Neurospora crassa OR74A: one gene and its partners. The protein of the gene in region 1 purifies or fractionates together with the protein of each later gene. This does not show direct contact. Links are inferred from orthologs where the notes say so. Each region holds a gene or a part of one and is shown in the gene's direction. Other genes may lie near its edges. The genes, in order: NCU07319, NCU08811, NCU00493, NCU04404 and NCU01992.

Region 1 (3,936 bases):
ACTGCAGCGCTCTGCTCGATGCTGCTGAGATGGCGTTCCGCTTCCAGAACGTCGAGGGCGACGAGGAGTCGGCCGAACTTGCTAAGATCATGGCGAGCAACAAGCCCGAGGACGTTGTCAAGCAGGTCTGCGGCTTGAACGAGCAGGAGAAGCTGTTCCCCAAGGTGGTCGAGGTTGTACAGCGCGTACAGGCCGACTTGCACGACGACTAGATGGAGCATTTCTGTCAACTTGTGTGTTTTGTATCCATTCTTACTTCATGTCTTATGATAAATGAGCGAAGACTTTACGGATAGGGAATAGGGCAACGGTGTCGTGGACCCTCGGAATCCGGAGAATATGGCGTTCATTTGGTTGCTTTCTGGGATATCAACGCGGAGCATTATACAACTGGGATCAATGGCGTTTAGCCGGGATCATATTGACATCCTGGAGGTTTTGGGTTTCCCTTTTTTCTTCTTCATTATTGTCTCTGCGCAATCACTAGAAGCGCTTTGCAATGATAGATATAGTTCAAGTCAATAAGAAGTACTCACACTCAATTCTTCTCCATGTTCCAGTAACGTTGTCGTATGCAAAGTGCGTCGAACTTGATCACTGCTTCGAGCTTTTTCTTTGAGCCCATATTTGGTGATTGCTGATAATGTTTTTAAGTAACGATGAAAATGGATGGGAGTACCGACTTGACGACTGACCGTCATCGGTCGCGCCTCCTGTTGCGTCGCTGAGACCTTTTGGTTTTGAAATACTCGTATCTTGCAAATTTGCTCGTGTGTGACACTCCTCCAAAATGTGATTGGGAATTGAGTCGTTCACAAAGTGACCGTTGCGTTGGTCCAAGCCTTTTGGTTTTTGACGATCTCCAGTGGTCGACTTTGGACGTGGTTTGGCGATGGTGATGGCTTCAAACACTGAATGCACCGACGGTGAGGGGGGCGCCAAGAGATCCGCAAAGCTGTAGTGTTGGTCGTTGCCTTAGGCAGCAGCTGGCGAGCGCAGGAAGTGACAGTGGCCGGCAGCTGTGCCCACTTGACCGCCTGAGGGAGAGAGTGGCCCGAGCGGCGAGCAGACCACAGCCGCGAAATTGTGGGCGGCGGCCGGTCGAGATACGTGGCGGGCACCTCTACAACCGTCCGCTGTCATTTCCGGCCCGTCGCAATCAAGTGTCAAGGCCTCCGAAGCCTCTATTCCGAATCCTCGTACCGCCAACCACGTCCCCCCCCCTTCGGCGGACCAGATATCCAATACACCAAATACATATAACCACGATTGCACCACTTCCGATAGCTTCACCCCTGACGAACCCGACGGCGGCTTTCTTGCACGGTCAGGGACCATCTCCAGCATCCAGCACGCACCCCACCTGAAGCTTGGAAGCTCGAGAACCGTTACGACCGCCCCGTCCTCTAATTCCAACTTGTAAACACCACACACCACACACCACACACCCACCCCAAACTCGCCCAACATGAGGCTGGATGTCAAGGCAAGTTCGCACAGGCTTCGTGTCTGCACCACCATGGCCGTGTCACCGAGACCCAACAGAACAACCCGATTCTGCAACCTGGCGCACACTTGCACCTCCCTTAGCTTCGGCCTGGGATCTTCCAGTTGCCCCTATTCCGTCTGCTGTACCGGCACCTCGACGGCCAGCTCCATTGCGCCGACACGTCCATCATCACATCGCTGCCTCCAACTGGGCCATCTCTCATTAGAAAACACCTGCTAACATGCCTGTCAACATGCAGCGCCAGTTGTTTGCCCGCTCTGAGGTTCGTTACCTGTCCTCTTGACCCCCTGATTTCTCCGGTACCAAGCAGTCTTTCAACATTCAAGGTTCCCATTGCTCACCCATATCCCGCACATAGCGAGTCAAGGGCATCGACTTCCATCCTACCGAGCCATGGATTCTGAGTACGTCTGATTCGACTCGCGATACGATGGGAGGGGCCCTGAATTCTGACACTACTTTGGTGATTAGCGACCCTCTACAGCGGCCACGTCTATATCTGGTCATACGAGACACAACAAATCGTCAAGACCTTCGAGCTTACCGATGTCCCCGTCCGCGCTGGTCGCTTCATTGCGCGAAAGAACTGGATCATCTGTGGTTCCGATGACTTGTATGTTCGACATGGAACTTGGGCTAGAGCTAGACAGGAAGGCTGACCTGGAATCCCAGCCAAATTCGAGTCTACAACTACAACACGAGCGAAAAGATCACATCCTTCGAGGCGCATCCCGACTACATCAGAGCCATTTGCGTCCATCCTACACAACCCTTCGTCCTTACCGCCAGTGATGACATGACGATCAAGCTTTGGGATTGGGAGAAGGGATGGAAGAACGTGCGGGTATTCGAGGGCAACTCACGTATGGCGCCACCAGCCTGATACATCGAAGCAGAGCGCGCGTGCTAACAGAGCTTCAGACTACGTCATGTCCCTCGCCATCAACCCCAAAGATACCAACACCTTTGCTTCGGCATGTTTGGACAGGACAGTCAAGATCTGGAGCTTGGGTTCATCCACACCAAACTTCCAGCTTGAGGCGCACGAGACCAAGGGCGTCAACCACGTCGATTACTATCCCCACAGCGACAAACCCTATCTTCTCACAACTTCTGATGACGTGAGTTATATTGACATCTGCTGGCGCATAGGACTTCACAGCTGACTTTACTGGCACAGCGCACGGTGAAAGTGTGGGACTATACCACCAAGAGTTTGATCGCCACTCTTGAAGGCCACACCAACAACGTATCCTTTGCCTGCTACCACCCAGAGCTCCCTATTATTATCTCTGGTTCGGAAGACGTACGTCGATATTGCACCTGTCCACTCGCTCGCAGGCTATTACTAACCGTAACCGCAGGGCACGATAAGGATATGGAACGCCAACACCTACAGGTTCGAGCAATCGCTAAACTACGGCCTGGAGCGAGCATGGTGTGTGTCATATCAGAAGGGCAAGCAGGGTATTGCTGTTGGTTTCGATGATGGTTCGGTGGTCATCAAGCTTGGTCGGGAAGAGCCCGCTGTGTCGATGGATGGCTCCGGCAAGATCGTGTGGGCCAGGCACAATGAGGTTGTATCTGCCGTGATCAAGGGTGCTGGTGAGTTACAAAACGGAACATCGAGAGTGACTCCGAGCTAACAGGGATCAGATGCCGATATCAAGGACAACGAACCTATCACACTCACCACCAAGGAGCTTGGAACCGCCGAGGTGTACCCCCAAAGTCTCATCCACTCTCCCAATGGTCGGTTCGCTGCTATTTGCGGCGACGGCGAATACATCGTTTACACTGCGCTCGCCTGGAGAAACAAGGCATTCGGTCAAGCCCTCGACTTTGTGTGGGCTTCCAAGGAGTATTCCAGCACAAACGAGTTCGCCATTCGTGAGTCTCCCACCAGCGTCAAGATCTTCAAGAACTTCGAGAACAAGGTCGGCGGTCTCGACGTCCCATTTGCTGCCGACGGTCTTACCGGCGGTGTCCTCCTCGGTGTCAAGGGCCAAGGTGGCATTTCCTTCTACGACTGGCGGACGGGTGGACTTGTCAGACGCATTGAGGTGGAGCCAAAGCAGGTGTACTGGAGCGAGAGCGGCGAGCTGGTTGCTCTTGCCTGCGAAGATAGCACCTACGTCCTCAGGTTCTCGAGAGAGAACTATAACGAAGCGGTCCAGGCTGGTCTTGTCGAGGATGATGGTGTTGAGGCTGCGTTTGATGTCGTTACCGACATCAGCGAGAGTATCCGTTCGGCGGAGTGGTTGGGAGATGTCCTGATCTACACCAACAGCACCAACCGTCTAAACTACTTGGTTGGCGACCAGACTTACACCATCGCCCACTTCGACAAGCCCATGTACATCTTGGGTTACCTCCAGCGTGATGGCCGCGTCTACATCACCGATAAGGACCTTAATGTTACCTCT
Region 2 (4,124 bases), about 780 kb from region 1:
AACAATGACCAGCAGCCTTGAACAATATTCATACAAGCGAATGGAAGCCTTTCAGTTCCACTTGACACCCAAGAACTTGAACTCCTTGTTGCCACCCTTCTTAGCAGCCGCCACTTCTGCCTCCTTATTCTCCAAGTAAATTCTCTGATGTCCCCTCACATCCACGTAAAAGGTCTGGTACTCATGCTCCCAGTGACCTGGTTGCTTGGTCAGATGCAGCCCGACGACACCAGAACCTCTTGGTCCTTCGACCTGTTTTTCTTGGTGTTAGCCCCATCATCACAACAAATTTTTAACAAAACAGGGGAAAGAAAAAGAAGAAGAAGAAGTAAAACGAACATGGAAATGCATCTTTAGATGCTCCACACCCCTATTATCCTTCTCGACCGTTGCCGCGATCGGCCGCGCCCGGCGCCACTTGTTGTGTGTCTCTTCGCCGTGAGCAGCAATCTTCTTTGGGTCGCCGGGCGAAAGAAGGGCGACGCAGCGAGGGTCGGCACGGATCCGGTCAACGGCTCGGTTGAAGTAGGCGGTTTTGGACTCTGGGGAGAACACGTCGGTGAAGAGTAGGTAGGCAATTCCTCCCTGTGTGGTAGAGTTAGTACTACACACAACACACCGGAGTGAGCGATGAATTGGGAAGAAGAAAGCGTACGGTCAAAACCACACCCAAAATCACCAGACCAAAGTTGAACGTTTGCTGGACGGCGCGCCCGGCTTTTTCACCGGTGGAGAGCCGAGTCCAGGGCACATGGCCATCATCATTGAAGGGCGTTACGGATCTCCTCTTGGAACTTTCTTGCGTAGTCGCATATTGCCGGCGCGATGAGACGAGAATGACGCTAGCTGCTGTCGGAGGAAGAGCTCTCGAAGCTGCTGTGGTAATGGTTGCTTGTTGACGGACCACGGCGGGGCTCAGAAGAAGCCTCACACCCGCCGAAGTACCTGTGAGCATTTTCATCATGGAGGCTTCAACACAACACCCATATTTCAACGGCAATGTTTCAGCCGTTTGCGATTGTTATGAGAGCTTCAATGAGAATGAGAGGTCCGAACGAAGCTGTGATGAGCTGCGGTTGGATGAAGCTTTGGAACCGTTTGCCGGCACGGCATCTTTCCCGGCAGAGGAGGTCCGTCCGGCGAGGGGTGGAGTCGGGTTCGTGTTGCGCTCCACTAGGTAGAGACGGGACTGTGTGCCAAGGCGCCAAGATGCCACATGGAAGGGCGAACCTCCATGAGCAAGTGGAAGCGTCTGATTCTTGGCTGGGGAACACAAAGAAATGTGGCCCAACGTTCCAGTGGACGTTCCAATACCATACAGGTACGTAGGTAGGTTGCCAGGCAGCCCGGCTCTCTCCGCTGGGGCTCCCCCCCCGTCTCCTGAATTAACTGCGAGCGAATGACAACACTTGAAAGATTGACAACTTGTAACAAGCCCGAAAACCTACAGCGCCGCCTTGTTTGACTTCTCTCCCTCTTCTGCCCCCTTTTTCACCTTCCCCCCCCTGACGGCAGCACCGACCTACCGACCCTGACAACCTAACCGAGCAAAGGGGTCATCAACAACGACAGTCGAGATCTAGTGACACATCACAACCCTGGCAAAGGACAGACATACCTAATCCGAACCATCACCGGACTGCCGACCGACAAGATGAGCGGTCTCGCGACAAAGCAGCAGTCGCTCAAGCTTTTTGAGAAGCTCAAGGCGAAGCCAGCCAACAAGGTATGTGCCCACGCGAGCAGCGATCGACCCTAGACATCCAGAAAGCTAACTGCTGCCTCCCTTCCCGCGAACAACAGATCTGCTTCGACTGCGGCCAAAAGAACCCAACATGGACCTCGGTCCCCTTTGGCATCTACCTCTGCCTCGATTGCTCGGCCAACCACCGCAACCTCGGCGTTCACATTTCCTTTGTGCGGTCTACTAACCTCGACCGTATGTGCCCTCTCGATCTTTACTCCACGACGCGACACCTCGCCCGCTAACGCGAACCTTGTTCTTGTACAGAATGGCAATGGGACCAGCTACGGATCATGAAGGTGGGCGGCAATGAGTCGGCAACCAAGTTCTTTCAGCAAAACGGTGGTTCCGCCGCCTTGAACAGCAAGGACCCCAAGACCAAGTACCAATCTGCTGCCGCGACCAAGTACAAGGAGGAGCTCAAGAAGAGGGCTGCTAGGGACGCCCGCGAGTATGCAATGCCCCTACCCCTCATTTACACAAACCTGTTTTATTCCACGTTACATGAAATGCAATGCTGACGCGCTGTTTACCTCCCACCCAGATACCCCGAAGAAGTTGTCATCACCGACGGTGACGATGCCACAAGCAGCAACACCCCGGCCGGCGAGCCCGACGACGACTTCTTTTCCTCGTGGGACAAGCCCGCCATCAAGAAGCCCACGCCACCCATTTCCCGCACTTCCACACCCCCCGTCATCGGCCGCACCGCCTCCCCGCTCCTCGGCAACGGCAAGGACATCCAGCGCACTTCCTCGCCGCTCTCCAAGACCGATTCCGATGCTCCCACTCCCGCCCCCGCCGCCAGCCGCATCACCACCTCCGCGGCCCTAAGGAAAACCACCCCCGGCAGCAGCACCACCGGCGGCCCGCGCAAGGTGGGCGGCGGCATCCTAGGCGCCAAGAAGCCCGCGGCTAAGCTGGGCGTCAAGAAGATTTCGGCGGACCTGATCGATTTCGACGAGGCGGAGAAGAAGGCCAAGGAGGAGGCGGAGCGCATCGAGAAGCTGGGTTACGATCCCGAGGCGGAGGAGGAGAAGGCGGCGAAGAAGGCCGAGACCAAGACCAATAATATCATCACCCCTGCTGCGGCGCCAGTCAGCTCCTCCAGTTCGCGGTCGGCGGCGCAGGAGAAGTCGGCTGCTGAGGTGGAGAGGCTAGGTATGGGTGTCAGGAAGCTGGGTTTCGGTATGGTGGGCAAGCCCGGTGGTGCTGGTGCTGCGGCGGGCGCGGGAGGAGCGGCGGCGGCGAAGAAGAATGCGGGTGGGTTTGGAAGTGTTGGGCCTATTAAGGCTAGTGAGGGTATGTTTTTTTTTTCCCTCCTTTCCCTTTCTTTTTTTTTCTTTTTCTTACGCAATACTAACCAACATCGATACGAAACAGCCGACGAAGAACAATACGCCCGCAACAAGTTCGCCAACCAAAAGGCCATCTCTTCGGACGAGTTTTTCAACAAGGGCAACTACGACCCCTCGGTCAAGGCCGAGACCAAGGCCCGTCTACAAGGCTTCGAGGGTGCCCAGGCCATCTCTTCCAATGCCTACTTTGGTCGTCCCGAGGACGACGCGCCCGCCGAAGACTACGGCGACCTCGAGTCTGCCGCCAAGGACTTCATTCGCAAGTTTGGCATCACTGCCAGCGATGATCTGGAGAACCTTACGCAGATGGTGGGTGAGGGTGCCGGGAGGTTGCAGGGTGCTATCAGGGCTTATCTTGGGAGCTGAGCGGTGGAAATGGAAGAATGAGGCAGCAGTGTGGGTGGGCAGCTGGACGTGATGGGCGAAGGGAATTACCTAGTTATGAGACAGAAAGATGTGGACGAGCGGGTAAGGCTTCCTTTTAGTAAAAATTAGTATTTGTAGTGTAATGGTGAATGAATGTTTTATGGTAGAGAGCACTAGTAGTCTGGGCAGATGATGCGGGTTTCTGATATCTAACGAAGAGGATGACGGCCAGGATCTGGATGAGCTGTTCTCACATCCGTGGCGTAGGGGGATCTTGGTAAGTGACCACGGGAAGTATTCAAGCAACAAGAAAGAGATATGATGGTGTTCTATAGCGTACGGTTTTTCGATTACGGTGGCAGTCGAGGTTGACAGGGAGAGATCGTGATGTTGATCAGGGTTTCAGCGAGATTTTTGCTAATAACTGACTCGCGCAACCATAATAGAAGCTACTGATATAGGGCCTACCTTCAGCGTAATTCTATCAATAACAACAGCTGGTCCGATGGTGTAGTTGGTTATCACGTCAGTCTAACACACTGAAGGTCCCCAGATCGAGCCTGGGTCGGATCATGAACCAAACTTTCTTTTTTTGCGATTGTTTTTGTTTTTTTATTGACCTAATGTTCTCGGCCCCCTTTTTTTTTTTTTTTTTT
Region 3 (4,107 bases), on another chromosome or scaffold:
TGCTCGACGCCGCCTGCCGCCTCTGCTTGCTCATCGTTGGTATTATGCTGAGCCTCGAGGTCATCGACAGCAAATTCAACATCCGCTGTGGCGGGTTGGGCATCAAGATCGATCGCCTGGTACTCATCTTCCTTGTCATGTAGGTCGTCGAGTTCTAAGACAAGCTCGTCGGCTGGCATGCCGGCATCTAGCATCAAGTCATCGTCAAATACCGCCTTCCCCGCCTCGGCACGAACGTCGAAGCTAACTTGCTCCATGATGATTGGCGGTTGGCGGGTCAATCAAAACACGCGCCACAGACGAGTGAGTTGGATCAAGAACGAAAATTTGGAAAATGACGCAAAACTTCCACGAAGTTTCTAAGAAGGTGCGACGTATTGCCGTTGTCAAGAAATTGTACGTCCAGCAAGCGTCATGAAAGAAGCGAAGACGTAGAAAATTGGTGCACTGGTCAAAACCCCAAGCTTGGCGATGGGTTTCGGTGGATGTCTTGGACTGAAAGGCTGTGACTTCTTCTTGGAAGCGAAGCCGTAGGGCATATAGAGACCACGGGTTCTGGAGTTATGGCTGAGAATGGGCAACCCCGCACTCGACAAAGAACGCCCGACAAACAACGGCGCTTCTGGGGCGCAAAATGAAACGGTGAAGGGATGTGAGGCGACACGTGGACTGGCGGAATCCGACAACACGATTTAACCGCTGTTAAGAGTTCTGGGGCGGATGTTCTGGGCAAAAGTGCACATCGAATCGAGGTATGGAATGCTGAAACGCGGCAGGCAGATAATCGGGATGCCTCACTTTCACGGAGCGGCGGAGCTGGGAGGTGGGTGAAGTGCAACGGAGTCGAGTAAGCTCTTGATGACGAGGCGTGTCACAAAGGTAGCGTAGGTATTTGATGATCCGTAATCGAGACTCGTATTGGCTGGGCAATGCTTTGACGCGATTGAGAAACAAGTTTCTCGATGGCGGATGGTTTTTCGAGGTAGGCGATGGTTTGGATGGAAATGGAAATCGTGAAATTTCGACACACGGGGCCGTCTGTTGTGCGTGTTGAAGAAAGAGGTGCAGTTGTTGGTTTTGCCGCAGTGTGTGGACAACGGTGAAATTCGCAGAATTGATCATAGGAAGGAAACTGAACCTAAGCAAGTGCCGCATGGAGTTTAGCGGGCCCTGTGGGTGCCTAGAGGTACCTACCTACTGTACTTGTATCTATGGTGTGCCCCTGGATTTCTTTTGCCAGCTGGCAGCCCCTCGTCGGCCGGCCAGGACGCTGCCACCGTGTACGCAGTAGGTTGCCCTGGCCCGCCTGAACCCGACTGCCCTGACGCTGCAGTGAAGCTGCCGTCCAGGTACCTCTACCTATCGCTGCCCGCTGGGTCCCTCCAGATGGCACCTTCAGTTCAATTGGACCTGACCGACAGCACACCTCAGCACGGCAACGGAAAGACCACATCAACCTTCCCGTCCACGACAACTTTCAGGAGGTGAAGCTCACGACTTACCTCCAACGCATCCCAAAGCTCCCTGCACTACCACGAAGCGCCCTTCGAGTCAGTAGTCGTGGTTGTTGTTTACTGCTGTCAAAATGGTAACTCATCCATCCCTGTCTCCTGGTGGGAAGAAGCGATTGACGGAACATGTCAGGTTGTCCTCGCTGCCTCCATCTGCACCCGCGGCGGCAAGGCCGTCTTAGCCCGCGCCTTCAACGACATCAAGCGCTCCCGCATCGAAGCTCTCCTCGCCTCGTTCCCCAAGGCCGCCGACTCGGGTACTCAGCACACCATTGTCGAGCAAGACAATGTCCGATTCGTCTACCAGCCCCTGGACGAGCTGTACATGGTCCTCATCACCAACAAGCAGTCCAACATCCTTCAGGACATCGACTCGCTCCACCTTTTTGCCCAGGTTGTCACCAGCACCTGCAAGAGCCTTGACGAGCGCGAAATCCTCCGAAATGCCTACGAACTGCTCAGCGCCTTCGATGAGCTGGTGACTCTCGGTTACCGGGAGAACCTCACCATCAGCCAGATCAAGACCTTCCTCGAGATGGAAAGCCACGAGGAGCGCATTCAGGAAATCATTGCCCGCAACAAGGAGCTGGAGGCCACCGAAGAGCGCAAGAGGAAAGCCAAGCAGTTGGAGATGCAGCGCAAGGAGTCGGCCAGAACTGGTCGGTCCGCGGTACCCCGGACGCCGGTATATCCCACATACACCCCGCCGGTGCGACCTGCTGTCACCGAGTCCTATGATACGTACGAAGCCGAGAAGAACAAGGTCAAGTATGTGTTAGTCCCTCTTCTTTTCAGGCTGGCCTGCAAGCTCACATTCTTCTAGGTTCAATGCGCCAAAGGGCAAAGGTATGCAGTTGGGCAAGAAGTCCAAGAATACGGATATTTTCGAGCGCGTGAAGGGGGATCTTGGACACGAGGCCGAGGAAGCGCCCCTTGTTCCGGTAGCCGCGCCGGCAGCTGCCGCAGAGCCTGCTGCTTCCAGAGTCTCTTCGACACTCGACAGGGATGCTATTCACGTCCTTATCAACGAGGCAATCAGTGCCAAGCTGTCGAGAGATGGTGCCCTCGAATCCCTCTCGGTCAGCGGTGACCTCCAGCTTCGCGTCTCCGACCCATCGCTTTCAAGGATCAAGCTCAACCTCAGCGCCACACCCACCCACGGCGCCCAGTTCCGCACTCACCCGAACGTCGATAAGAATGTCTTCAATAGCTCCCAGGCTATCCAGTTGTCTCAAATCACAAAGGGTTTCCCCCTTAACAACTCTGTCGGAGTTCTAAGGTGGCGGGCCAGTCCCAGAGTCGACGACACCAGCGCACTACCAATCAGCTTCACCGTTTGGGTCAACAAGGGCTCGGATGGCAACAGCACATTGACGGTCGAGTACGAGCTCACTGGCGGAGATACCCTCAAGGACGTTACTGTCGTCATCCCCTACACGAGCGCAGAGCCTCAGGTGTCTAGCTTCGACGCTGTGTATGAGGTGTCTGGTGACAGTCTAGAGTGGTCGATAGGCACCGTAAGCGAGGAGAACGCCAGCGGATCATTCGAGTTTGAGGCGCAGACCGATGACGAGAACGAGTTCTTCCCGATGCAAGTACGGTTCTCCAAGTCGTGGCCGTTCGTGGAGGTTGATGTAAGATGTCGCCCCCTCATGTCAGAAAAACGGGTAAAGACGGAACAACTGACACATTCTAGGTTCAATCTGTTGAGCTGGTGGATGAAGGTGAAGAGGTTTCGTTTTCCAAGGACATCAGATCGGTGGCCGACAAGTTCCTCATTGAGTAGGGTTTGTTGTCATTGTTTTGAGCAGAACCAAAAAAGGGCGACCGTAGCATGCCGGCCAGGCGTCTCGATCATCATCTTCCACACCAGAATTAGAGTAATGTATGGGAAGCAACCGAGTTGTCCAACTCCCTTTATAATGAATACTGTTGTACATGGTCCGCGCCAGTGGGTGCTCGAGCTGTCATTCCTTTTCTTCCGTTGATACCCAAGGTCATACTTGACTTTTTGAACAAGAGGTTTTTGACGCTCCCGGGATCCTTGAAAGTAACATGTAAGCTACGAGCCCTACGCATTTTTAAGGGGATGGATACCCTCATGATCCAGTACCATATAGAAAGAAGCCTATCTACGCAAAGAGCTATCCAACTCAATCATCGCTGTTGTAAGCACAGAGTATGGTAATTGATGTCGATGTGTGTAGTTCGCTAGGTAAGCTTGTAAAGGTCATACCTACACAGTACGGATGCCCCTGCACAGTATTTCTATTACTGTGGCAACTGCTCTATCTGCACTGTGTTTTGAATCAACAGGCAGGACGAGACCACACGACTGAATCGCAGAACAGCAGCAACAACAACAACAACATCACGCCGAGGCAAGTGAAGCTGTAGGTCTAGCAAACCAAAACCGAAATCCCCCAAACATACAAACCGACTTGCCAAGTTATGGACTTGCGCGTGTCATTCAAATCAAAATCTTGCGTCCCGGAGTTGAAGGCTGGAACCACTTAGCCGCTGCTTTCCACGTCCAAATAACATCATCCAACTGAAAGTCACCAACGGATCCTACAAAATGTCCCCAAATGGGCAG
Region 4 (4,296 bases), about 910 kb from region 1:
TAATGAGATGTCGGTGTTCCATCACTCGGTCTCCGCCTGGCAACTGCATCGGATATCTTGCCTCACACTGCTTGGTTGGTCATCATCAATAGCTGACACAAACAGCCATGACGACTCTTAGGTTCGGGGGCCAGTGGGGCGATTGGTCGATAATGTATACGATTGTGCCAGTCCCGAAGTTATCCATGTTAAATCCAGTTTCAAGAAACCCATCTGCGCCGCCAATAGATAGAAAAGAACGCCTTTATAAAACGCCGCATTATCCCACAAAATCTCTCCTTTCCATGAGTAAGGATATATCAAACTCGGGGTATTCGTTCGTGTCGGAAGATTAAATGGGCTTGATCTTGAAGTGCAAGGCAATGAGACTGAACACCAGCGCCTTGAGGTCCTGAACGAGGTAGTAGAAGACGCGCAAGCCTTCTGGGTCGGCCGAGTCCGTAACATCGTTGATCGATCCGATCTTGGCAGTCTATTTCCTGTATTAGCTCTGAACATTTTGCAGAAATAGATTCCGACACTGGCAAGACGCACCTCGAATGAAATGTGGTCGTTCCCGAGGCGGATCTCCAACTCCTGCTTTCCGTCTTTGTTTTTGGTCGGCCATTTCTCGTCGTCTTCCCTGTTGGCCTGTCAGCAGCCGCTCCATGTTGTTTGTATAAAAGGGTGAACATGATGTCGTACTTCATAATCTCGCTGTCCTTGATGATGCGCTTGATCTCGTCAATGACCAGAGAGCTGACGCACACTAAAAGAGACCCTCGTCAGTATATGGATGTCCACGGCCGGCTAAACAGTGTTTCCTACTCTCTTTCCTGATCAGACTGTCGTTACGGTAGTTGGAGTTGTTGGCATATCGGGCAGTGGCGCTACGTCCGTCGCCGAGGACGCGAAAGTCGAACTCTGTAGTCAAAGGGCGGTAGTTTAGCATCGTGGTCGTGGAAACGTGGGAGCTTGCGTCTCGAGGCGCAAATGGCTGAACACACCTAGGAACTCGTGGCCGAAGCGGCCCGAGTGGCCAGAGCTAAGCCGGCTGTTAGCATGGTGTTTTCAATGTGTGAGTGAATCGAATCCCGTAGGGGTGTACATACTAGTAGCGCAGATAGAAGGGTTCGTTGGCGGCTGACATGGCTGTTTGTTGCTTCTGTCAGTAGTAGGCTTTGCAAGACAAGAGGCAGAGATGCAGCCAGCGGCTTGGTTCCTGTCGCTTTTGGATGGACAACCTTGAAAGTCGCGCCCGCGCGGCCACGCTCCAGTGACATTGGCGGGGCACACGGCCCCACACTTGACCCCAGCTTGGCCCAGGGGCATTGTTTGGGCTCCAAGCTGACTCCGGGTTCACGAGCCTTCCTGACAGCTGGCAATCCGTATCTACACGTGATCCTTCGACTGTTTGGACAAGCTGGCAGATGGCAGACTCGGCCAGGAGATGGAGGCTTGGTGAGGCCGTAAGGGTGTCGGGGGGTCCGTGCTTCGCCGTGTGCTGTTGCGGCCGGCCAGAATGCCACATCTCCCAGGGGCCGTCTCTCGATAGAATTGACCGTCCTATCCACGCTGGCTCTTCCAGACTTCAACAACAAGCACAGGTGATGCTCCGCTCTCTCACCTCGCCGGCGCACTCCAGACAACCCTTTCATTGCGCAGCCGTCTCTTGATTTTCGGCCAACCACGACCCTGTCAGTCCAGGGGGAGGAAACCACATCCAGCACCAAGGCCAGCTCATCGTCACTCTTCAGGAGCTCGAGGCAGCCACTCAGTCCATCCATTTACTAGCACCACGCAACCTACAACGGGGCAAACAACACCTTACCACACCCGCCCCTCTCTAATTTCGATCCGCGACTCCTCTTCAGGACGCCCGGCCAGCTACTTTCTACCAAATTCAATCTCAACTTTAATCAAAGACGGCCCGGCCGCCGCCAGCTCTCCAACATGTCGTTCCTCGAAAATGCCTACAGCTTGGTCAAGGACAATGCCGTCGACGGCACCCCAACCGTGCAGGAGCTCAAGACGCAGCTCGAAAAGGGCACCGACGAGACCAAGATCGAGACCATGAAGCGCATTCTTACCATCATGCTCAATGGCGATCCCATGCCCCAATTGCTCATGCACATTATCCGATTCGTAATGCCTTCTAAATCCAAGCCCCTGAAGAAGCTTCTATACTTCTACTATGAGATCTGCCCCAAGCTTGATGCCCAAGGGAAGCTCAAGCAGGAGTTCATCCTAGTATGGTAAGGCATTCCGTGTCCGTCTGGGCATGCTGGCCCCTCCAAGCTGACCAGCCATTGCCTCGCAGTAACGGCATCCGAAACGACTTGCAACACCCGAACGAGTACATCCGAGGCAACACGCTGCGCTTCCTGTGCAAGCTGCGGGAGGCCGAACTTCTCGAGCCTTTGCTCTCCTCAGCCCGGGGCTGTCTCGAACATCGCCATGCCTATGTCCGAAAGAACGCCGTCTTTGCTGTCGCTTCCATTTACCAGCACTCCCCGTCGCTTATTCCCGATGCTGCGGACTTGATCTCCACGTTCCTCGAAGGCGAAAGCGACCCAACCTGCAAGCGGAATGGCTTCGCCGCCCTTGCCAGCATCGACCACGACAAGGCTCTTCTCTATCTCAGCACCGTCTTTGACGGTATTCCCAACGCAGATGAGCTTTTGCAGTTGGCCGAGTTGGAGTTCATCAGGAAAGATGCTGTTGTCAACACCCAGAACAAGGCGCGCTACCTCCGTCTTATTTTTGACCTTTTGGAAGCTAGTGCCTCGACCGTTATCTACGAAGCGGCCTCGTCGTTGACGGCCCTCACCAACAACCCTGTCGCTGTCAAGGCTGCTGCCAGCAAGTTCATTGAGCTTGCGATCAAGGAGGCGGATAACAATGTCAAGCTTATCGTTCTGGACCGTGTCGATCAACTCCGCCAAAAGAACCCCGGCGTCCTGGACGACCTGACCATGGAGGTGTTGCGCGTTCTCTCTAGCACGGATATCGATGTGCGGAGGAAGGGTCTCGAGATCGCTTTGGAGATGGTCTCCAGCAAGAACGTGGAGGAAGTCGTGCTTTTGCTCAAGAAGGAGCTGTCCAAGACGGTTGACCAGGAGTACGAGAAGAACAACGAGTACCGCCAGCTTCTTATCCACTCCATCCATCAATGCGCTATCAAGTTCTCCGAAGTCGCCGCTAGCGTCGTCGGCTTGCTCATGGACTTTATTGCCGATTTCAACAACAACTCCGCCGTTGATGTTATTAACTTTGTCAAGGAGGTCGTCGAGAAGTTCCCTCAGCTCAGGCCAGCAATCATTGCGAGACTGGTAGATACCCTGAGTGAAGTCCGCGCTGGTAAGATCTACCGCGGTATTCTCTGGATTATCGGCGAGTACTCGCTTGAGGAGAAGGATATCAGGGACGCATGGAAGAGAATTCGGGCAAGCCTGGGTGAGATCCCGATCTTGGCATCCGAGCAACGGTTGCTGGATAATGTTGATGGTGATGCCGAGGAGAAGGAGAAGGAGCAGGTCAATGGCTCAAGGGCAGCGCCGACTGGCTCACGCAAGGTCCTTGCTGACGGCACATACGCTACCGAGACTGCCCTTACCAGCCAGTCTACAGCTGCTGCACGCCTGGAGGCTGTCAAGGCTTCGTCGAAGCCCCCTCTCAGGCAACTTATCCTTGACGGCGATTACTACCTTGCCACTGTTCTCGCATCGACCCTTACCAAGCTTGTCATGCGTCATGCCGAGATCTCCTCGGAAGAGGCTCGCACGAACGCCCTCCGCGCTGAGGCTATGCTCATCATGATCTCCGTCATTCGTGTTGGTCAGTCGCAGTTCGTCAAGGCCCCTATTGATGAAGATTCGGTGGATCGTATCATGAGCTGTGTGCGCTCCCTTGCCGAGTTCACCGCGCACAAGGAGTTGGAGACCGTTTATCTCGAGGATACCAGGAAGGCGTTCAGGGCGATGGTCCAGGTTGAGGAGAAGAAGCGCGCAGCAAAAGAGGCCCACCAAAAGGCAAAGACGGCCACCCAGGTGGACGATGTTTATCAAATCCGCCAGCTTTCCAAGAAGAATGCCACTGATGGGGCTGATGCTTTCGATGCCGATCTCGAGCGTGCCACTGGTGGAGACAACAGCTCGGCTGAGGACCTATCTGGCAAGCTTAGCCGCGTTGTCCAGCTCACCGGTTTCTCCGACCCTGTTTATGCTGAGGCCTATGTCAAGGTCCACCAGTTCGACATTGTACTAGACGTACTACTCGTCAACCAAACAACTGAGACCCTCCAGAACCTTACCGTCG
Region 5 (3,987 bases), on another chromosome or scaffold:
CGCCTTGCTTACTAAACCTTATCTGGCCGCTACTGACACGTCTGGTACAGGGCTGATGCTATTTTGCCTCCGTCCTTTGATCTCGTTGTGCTGGGCAAAAAAGAGAAAGAAGCTGTGAAGGCATGCGGCAAAAATCCCGACCGCAAGGAAGACGACGTCCGGAACGGGTTTCCCATCAATACTGATTATCACGCGCAAGAGCCGATGCAGGAGCAAGCAAGCGCCGCCGAAGCGGAGGACCAAGCGCAGGTGCAGGGCGAGGAACAACCGGACATGCAACTCGAAACACAGGCGGAGGTACAGACTGAGGCGCAACCCGAGGCCTCGGCAGTGGTCTCAGATGAGGTGCCTGTCGATGCAGAAGCGATAGAAGCTGCTTCCACATCATAGGGTCCATTTGTGTATCCGATCGCTGATGCTACGCAGGTGAGGGCCGTAGCAGGAGAGTGATATAAGAAGCTGTGCCTAAGAGTACGCCCCAAAAGAGAGCAAGCAAACATACTAGAAAACAAATCATGCTTTTATGAGCCAAAGCAAGGCTATATGTCCTTTTGGAGGAAGACGAAAAGGAAGAGATGGGTACAATGGATGCTCGGACCAACTGTATCCTTAAGTACAGGCTGGGACTACCGTTGAGGAGAACCAATTGACAGCAAGAAGGGCTCACGATAATGCAATTTGAGTAAAGTAGTCAGTATCAAGCTGTCATTCAAGCCGAAAGGGAAGGCGGCCACCTAGACCGAGTGTGGGATGTAAAGCTTGGCACTGAACAGGTCCAAGTAAAGTATCAATAGTTATCATGGTGATTACTACGTACTAGCAATCTTGGTTCTATTTTTCCTTCAGAAGCACAAGTGAGGTGACCTGGCAGGTTGAACAATGTCAAGTTTGTCTTCCAGGAACAACATCCCGTGTGATTATATTGAAAATAATTAAACTCGATGATCTACTCAGGAGGCGGGAGGGAAGCATCTATGTAGAGGTAACTAGGTATGTACATATTGGAAGGGTGGTCTGTGCGCTGTAACACCCGCTCCTTGAGGTTGACGATGCACATGGAGAAGCTTGCTCCTGCCGGGAGGCTTTCAGCCTCTAACTGGCGAGACTGGCAGCGTGGCCCGGGAGCACGGACTCCCTGACACCTCAGTGGACTCCCCCTCGACTGTGCAGTGGAATTGGCAACGTCGCGGGTTTGGGGATACCCGCTTGCTGGCCGCACCGTCGCACAGGCAACACGCTACTCCGTTATTTCGTACCTCTATTGTTCTAGCCTCGACTTACTTGCCTCAACAACAACAACTTGGGTTTCCCAAATCCACATCACACCTCCAGCACCCATCGTCGCCCTGCCCGCCATGAATTACGGCAAAAAGGACGAGGATGCTGAGACGGGTCTGGTCAAGGTCGACCGGACCCAGGTCTTCCAGGAGGGTGAGTCCGAGTACCTTGGCAGCTGAGGCATTGTTCGTCGGGTGGACGTGGCCCTTATACTCTCCTAACCTCCTCAAGACTGACCGGTTCGACATACAGCCCGCCTCTTCAACAACTCCCCCATTCAGCCGCGCAAATGTCGTATCCTCCTCACCAAGATTGCTCTCCTCCTCTACACCGGCGAAAGATTCCCGACAAACGAAGCCACGACGCTGTTTTTTGGTATTTCGAAGCTCTTCCAGAACAAAGATGCCAGCCTACGACAGATGGTCCACCTTGTCATCAAGGAGCTGGCCAACTCGGCCGAGGATATTATTATGGTTACCAGCACCATTATGAAGGATACTGGCGGTAGTACCGATGCCATCTACCGCCCGAATGCCATCCGCGCCCTTTGCCGCATCATCGATGTAAGCCTCCCCCTTCCTCGACCCCTTAATGGTTATCCGATGTGGAGCTAACCCCGACCTTGTGCAGGCCACCACAGTACAGTCCATCGAGCGTGTCATGAAGACGGCCATTGTCGACAGAAACCCCTCAGTATCCTCTGCCGCCCTCGTATCGTCATATCACCTTCTCCCCGTCGCCAAGGACGTCGTCAAACGGTGGCAGAATGAGACCTCGGAAGCGGCAGCTAACACCAAGTCTACCGGCGGTTTCTCCCTCGGTTTCGGATCTTCCAACAGAGATCTGCCCATCAACAGCTCGACTATGACCCAATACCATGCCATTGGCTTGCTTTATCAGATGCGCATGCACGACAGGATGGCGTTGGTGAAGATGGTCCAGCAGTTCGGTGCTCCCGGTGCCGTCAAGAACCCCGCTGCTCTCATGTTGCTCGTCCGTCTTGCCGCCCAGCTGGCCGACGAAGACCCACACCTTAGGAAGCCCATGATGCAGCTGCTGGATGGCTGGCTCAGGCACAAGAGCGAAATGGTCAACTTCGAGGCCGCAAAGGCGATTTGCGATATGCGGGATGTCACCGACGCTGAGGTCACCCAGGCAGTCCATGTCCTCCAACTTTTCCTTACCTCGCCCCGCGCTGTCACCAAGTTCGCCGCTCTTCGCATTCTCCACAACTTCGCTTCGTTCAAGCCGGCGGCCGTTGCTGTATGCAACCCGGACATTGAGCTCCTCATCTCCAACAGCAACCGCTCCATCGCTACTTTTGCCATTACTACCCTACTCAAGACCGGAAACGAGGCCAGCGTGGATCGTCTGATGAAGCAAATTTCTGGCTTCATGTCTGAAATCACCGATGAGTTCAAGATTACGATTGTCGAAGCCATCCGTACTCTATGCCTCAAGTTTCCCAGCAAGCAGGCCGGCATGCTCCAGTTCCTCAGTGGTATTTTGCGCGATGAGGGTGGCTATGAGTTTAAGCGCGCCGTGGTGGAGAGCATGTTCGATCTTATCAAGTTCGTCCCCGAATCTAAGGAGGAGGCTCTCGCTCACCTGTGCGAGTTTATTGAGGACTGCGAGTTCACCAAGTTGGCAGTCCGTGTCCTTCACCTCCTCGGTCTTGAGGGACCCAAGACATCCCAGCCTACCAAGTACATCCGATACATCTACAACCGGGTGGTTCTCGAGAACTCCATTGTGCGCGCCGCAGCGGTCACTGCCCTTGCCAAATTTGGTGTCGGCCAGAAAGATCCTGAAGTCAAGCGCAGCGTAGAGGTTCTCCTCACCAGGTGTCTGGATGATGTTGATGACGAGGTTCGCGATCGTGCTGCTCTCAACCTCAAGCTTATGAAGGAAGAGGATGAGCTTGCGAACAGGTTTGTCAAGAATGGTAAGTTCTCGTCTACTTTATGTTACGTTTGCCGGATGCGATCACATACTGACATGTCAACAGACAGCATGTTCTCGTTGCCCTTTTTCGAGCATCAGCTCGTCACGTATGTTACTTCTGATGACAGGTCGACATTCGAGGCGCCTTTCGACATCTCCAAGATCCCTGTTGTTACCCGCGAACAAGCAGATGCCGAGGATAGGACCAAGAAGCTTACTGCTACGACACCTTCACTCAAGCCACCCAAGGTCGGACCAACCAAGGCGGCTCCCACCAGCGCCGAGGCAGCCGCATCTGCCTCGGCAGCTGCGCAAAAATATGCGCAGGAGTTGATGCAGATTCCCGAGATGGCAGAATTTGGCGCCGTTCTCAAGTCGTCGCCGGTGGTAGAGTTGACCGAGGCGGAGACCGAATACGTCGTTGGAGTTGTCAAGCATATTTTCAAGGAGCATATTGTGCTCCAGTACGAGGTCAAGAACACCCTTCCCGACACCGTATTAGAGAACGTCTCTGTCGTAGCTACTCCCGCGGAAGAAGAGCTTGAAGAATTATTCATTATTCAGGCTGAGAAGCTCGAGACCGACGTTCCTGGAAAGGTATATGTGGCATTCAGAAAGGTCAGCGGTGAGGGTTCGCTACCAGTTAGCACCTTCTCCAACGTCCTCAAGTTCACCAGCAAGGAGATTGATCCCAGCACCGGTGAGCCTGAAGAAACCGGCTACGATGACGAGTACGAGGTTGCCGAGTTTGACCTGGCGGGAAGC

Evidence for each region.
Region 2: the proteins of NCU07319 (region 1) and NCU08811 purify together in Saccharomyces cerevisiae (affinity purification with mass spectrometry; 4 studies listed by BioGRID, with this or other methods). This does not show direct contact. The link is inferred for Neurospora crassa OR74A from reciprocal best matches to the Saccharomyces cerevisiae genes SEC27 and GLO3.
Region 3: the proteins of NCU07319 (region 1) and NCU00493 purify together in Saccharomyces cerevisiae (affinity purification with mass spectrometry; 6 studies listed by BioGRID). This does not show direct contact. The link is inferred for Neurospora crassa OR74A from reciprocal best matches to the Saccharomyces cerevisiae genes SEC27 and RET2.
Region 4: the proteins of NCU07319 (region 1) and NCU04404 purify together in Saccharomyces cerevisiae (affinity purification with mass spectrometry; 6 studies listed by BioGRID). This does not show direct contact. The link is inferred for Neurospora crassa OR74A from reciprocal best matches to the Saccharomyces cerevisiae genes SEC27 and SEC26.
Region 5: the proteins of NCU07319 (region 1) and NCU01992 purify together in Saccharomyces cerevisiae (affinity purification with mass spectrometry; 6 studies listed by BioGRID). This does not show direct contact. The link is inferred for Neurospora crassa OR74A from reciprocal best matches to the Saccharomyces cerevisiae genes SEC27 and SEC21.

What each region holds. Positions count from the first base shown.
Region 1 is NC_026504.1:4,379,345-4,383,280, reverse strand, and holds the start of NCU07319 (coatomer beta' subunit), read left to right. Parts: upstream 1-1,131; 5' UTR 1,132-1,468; coding exon 1,469-1,486; intron 1,487-1,748; coding exon 1,749-1,772; intron 1,773-1,868; coding exon 1,869-1,914; intron 1,915-1,981; coding exon 1,982-2,123; intron 2,124-2,182; coding exon 2,183-2,373; intron 2,374-2,431; coding exon 2,432-2,631; intron 2,632-2,690; coding exon 2,691-2,816; intron 2,817-2,874; coding exon 2,875-3,115; intron 3,116-3,166; coding exon 3,167-3,936. Other genes in the region: NCU07318 (mannitol-1-phosphate 5-dehydrogenase), read left to right, coding at 1-212. UniProt on the Saccharomyces cerevisiae protein: The coatomer is a cytosolic protein complex that binds to dilysine motifs and reversibly associates with Golgi non-clathrin-coated vesicles, which further mediate biosynthetic protein transport from the ER, via the Golgi up to the trans Golgi network.
Region 2 is NC_026504.1:5,157,946-5,162,069, reverse strand, and holds NCU08811 (arf GTPase-activating protein), read left to right. Parts: upstream 1-1,318; 5' UTR 1,319-1,654; coding exon 1,655-1,726; intron 1,727-1,803; coding exon 1,804-1,939; intron 1,940-2,011; coding exon 2,012-2,195; intron 2,196-2,288; coding exon 2,289-3,046; intron 3,047-3,127; coding exon 3,128-3,468; 3' UTR 3,469-3,793; downstream 3,794-4,124. Other genes in the region: NCU08810 (mitochondrial import inner membrane translocase subunit tim-21), read right to left, coding at 52-252, 340-585, 656-964. UniProt on the Saccharomyces cerevisiae protein: GTPase-activating protein for the ADP ribosylation factor (ARF) family. Involved in retrograde vesicular transport from the Golgi to the endoplasmic reticulum.
Region 3 is NC_026503.1:4,047,419-4,051,525, forward strand, and holds NCU00493 (coatomer subunit delta), read left to right. Parts: upstream 1-1,305; 5' UTR 1,306-1,585; coding exon 1,586-1,588; intron 1,589-1,644; coding exon 1,645-2,279; intron 2,280-2,334; coding exon 2,335-3,145; intron 3,146-3,207; coding exon 3,208-3,297; 3' UTR 3,298-3,657; downstream 3,658-4,107. Other genes in the region: NCU00492 (hypothetical protein), read right to left, coding at 1-257; NCU00494 (hypothetical protein), read left to right, coding at 4,090-4,107. UniProt on the Saccharomyces cerevisiae protein: The coatomer is a cytosolic protein complex that binds to dilysine motifs and reversibly associates with Golgi non-clathrin-coated vesicles, which further mediate biosynthetic protein transport from the ER, via the Golgi up to the trans Golgi network.
Region 4 is NC_026504.1:3,471,261-3,475,556, forward strand, and holds the start of NCU04404 (coatomer beta subunit), read left to right. Parts: upstream 1-1,494; 5' UTR 1,495-1,932; coding exon 1,933-2,234; intron 2,235-2,299; coding exon 2,300-4,296. Other genes in the region: NCU04405 (mago nashi protein), read right to left, coding at 332-472, 535-622, 685-748, 808-903, 987-1,024, 1,092-1,129. UniProt on the Saccharomyces cerevisiae protein: The coatomer is a cytosolic protein complex that binds to dilysine motifs and reversibly associates with Golgi non-clathrin-coated vesicles, which further mediate biosynthetic protein transport from the ER, via the Golgi up to the trans Golgi network.
Region 5 is NC_026501.1:1,752,646-1,756,632, reverse strand, and holds the start of NCU01992 (coatomer subunit gamma), read left to right. Parts: upstream 1-1,183; 5' UTR 1,184-1,355; coding exon 1,356-1,431; intron 1,432-1,530; coding exon 1,531-1,841; intron 1,842-1,908; coding exon 1,909-3,223; intron 3,224-3,286; coding exon 3,287-3,987. Other genes in the region: NCU01991 (hypothetical protein), read left to right, coding at 51-390. UniProt on the Saccharomyces cerevisiae protein: The coatomer is a cytosolic protein complex that binds to dilysine motifs and reversibly associates with Golgi non-clathrin-coated vesicles, which further mediate biosynthetic protein transport from the ER, via the Golgi up to the trans Golgi network.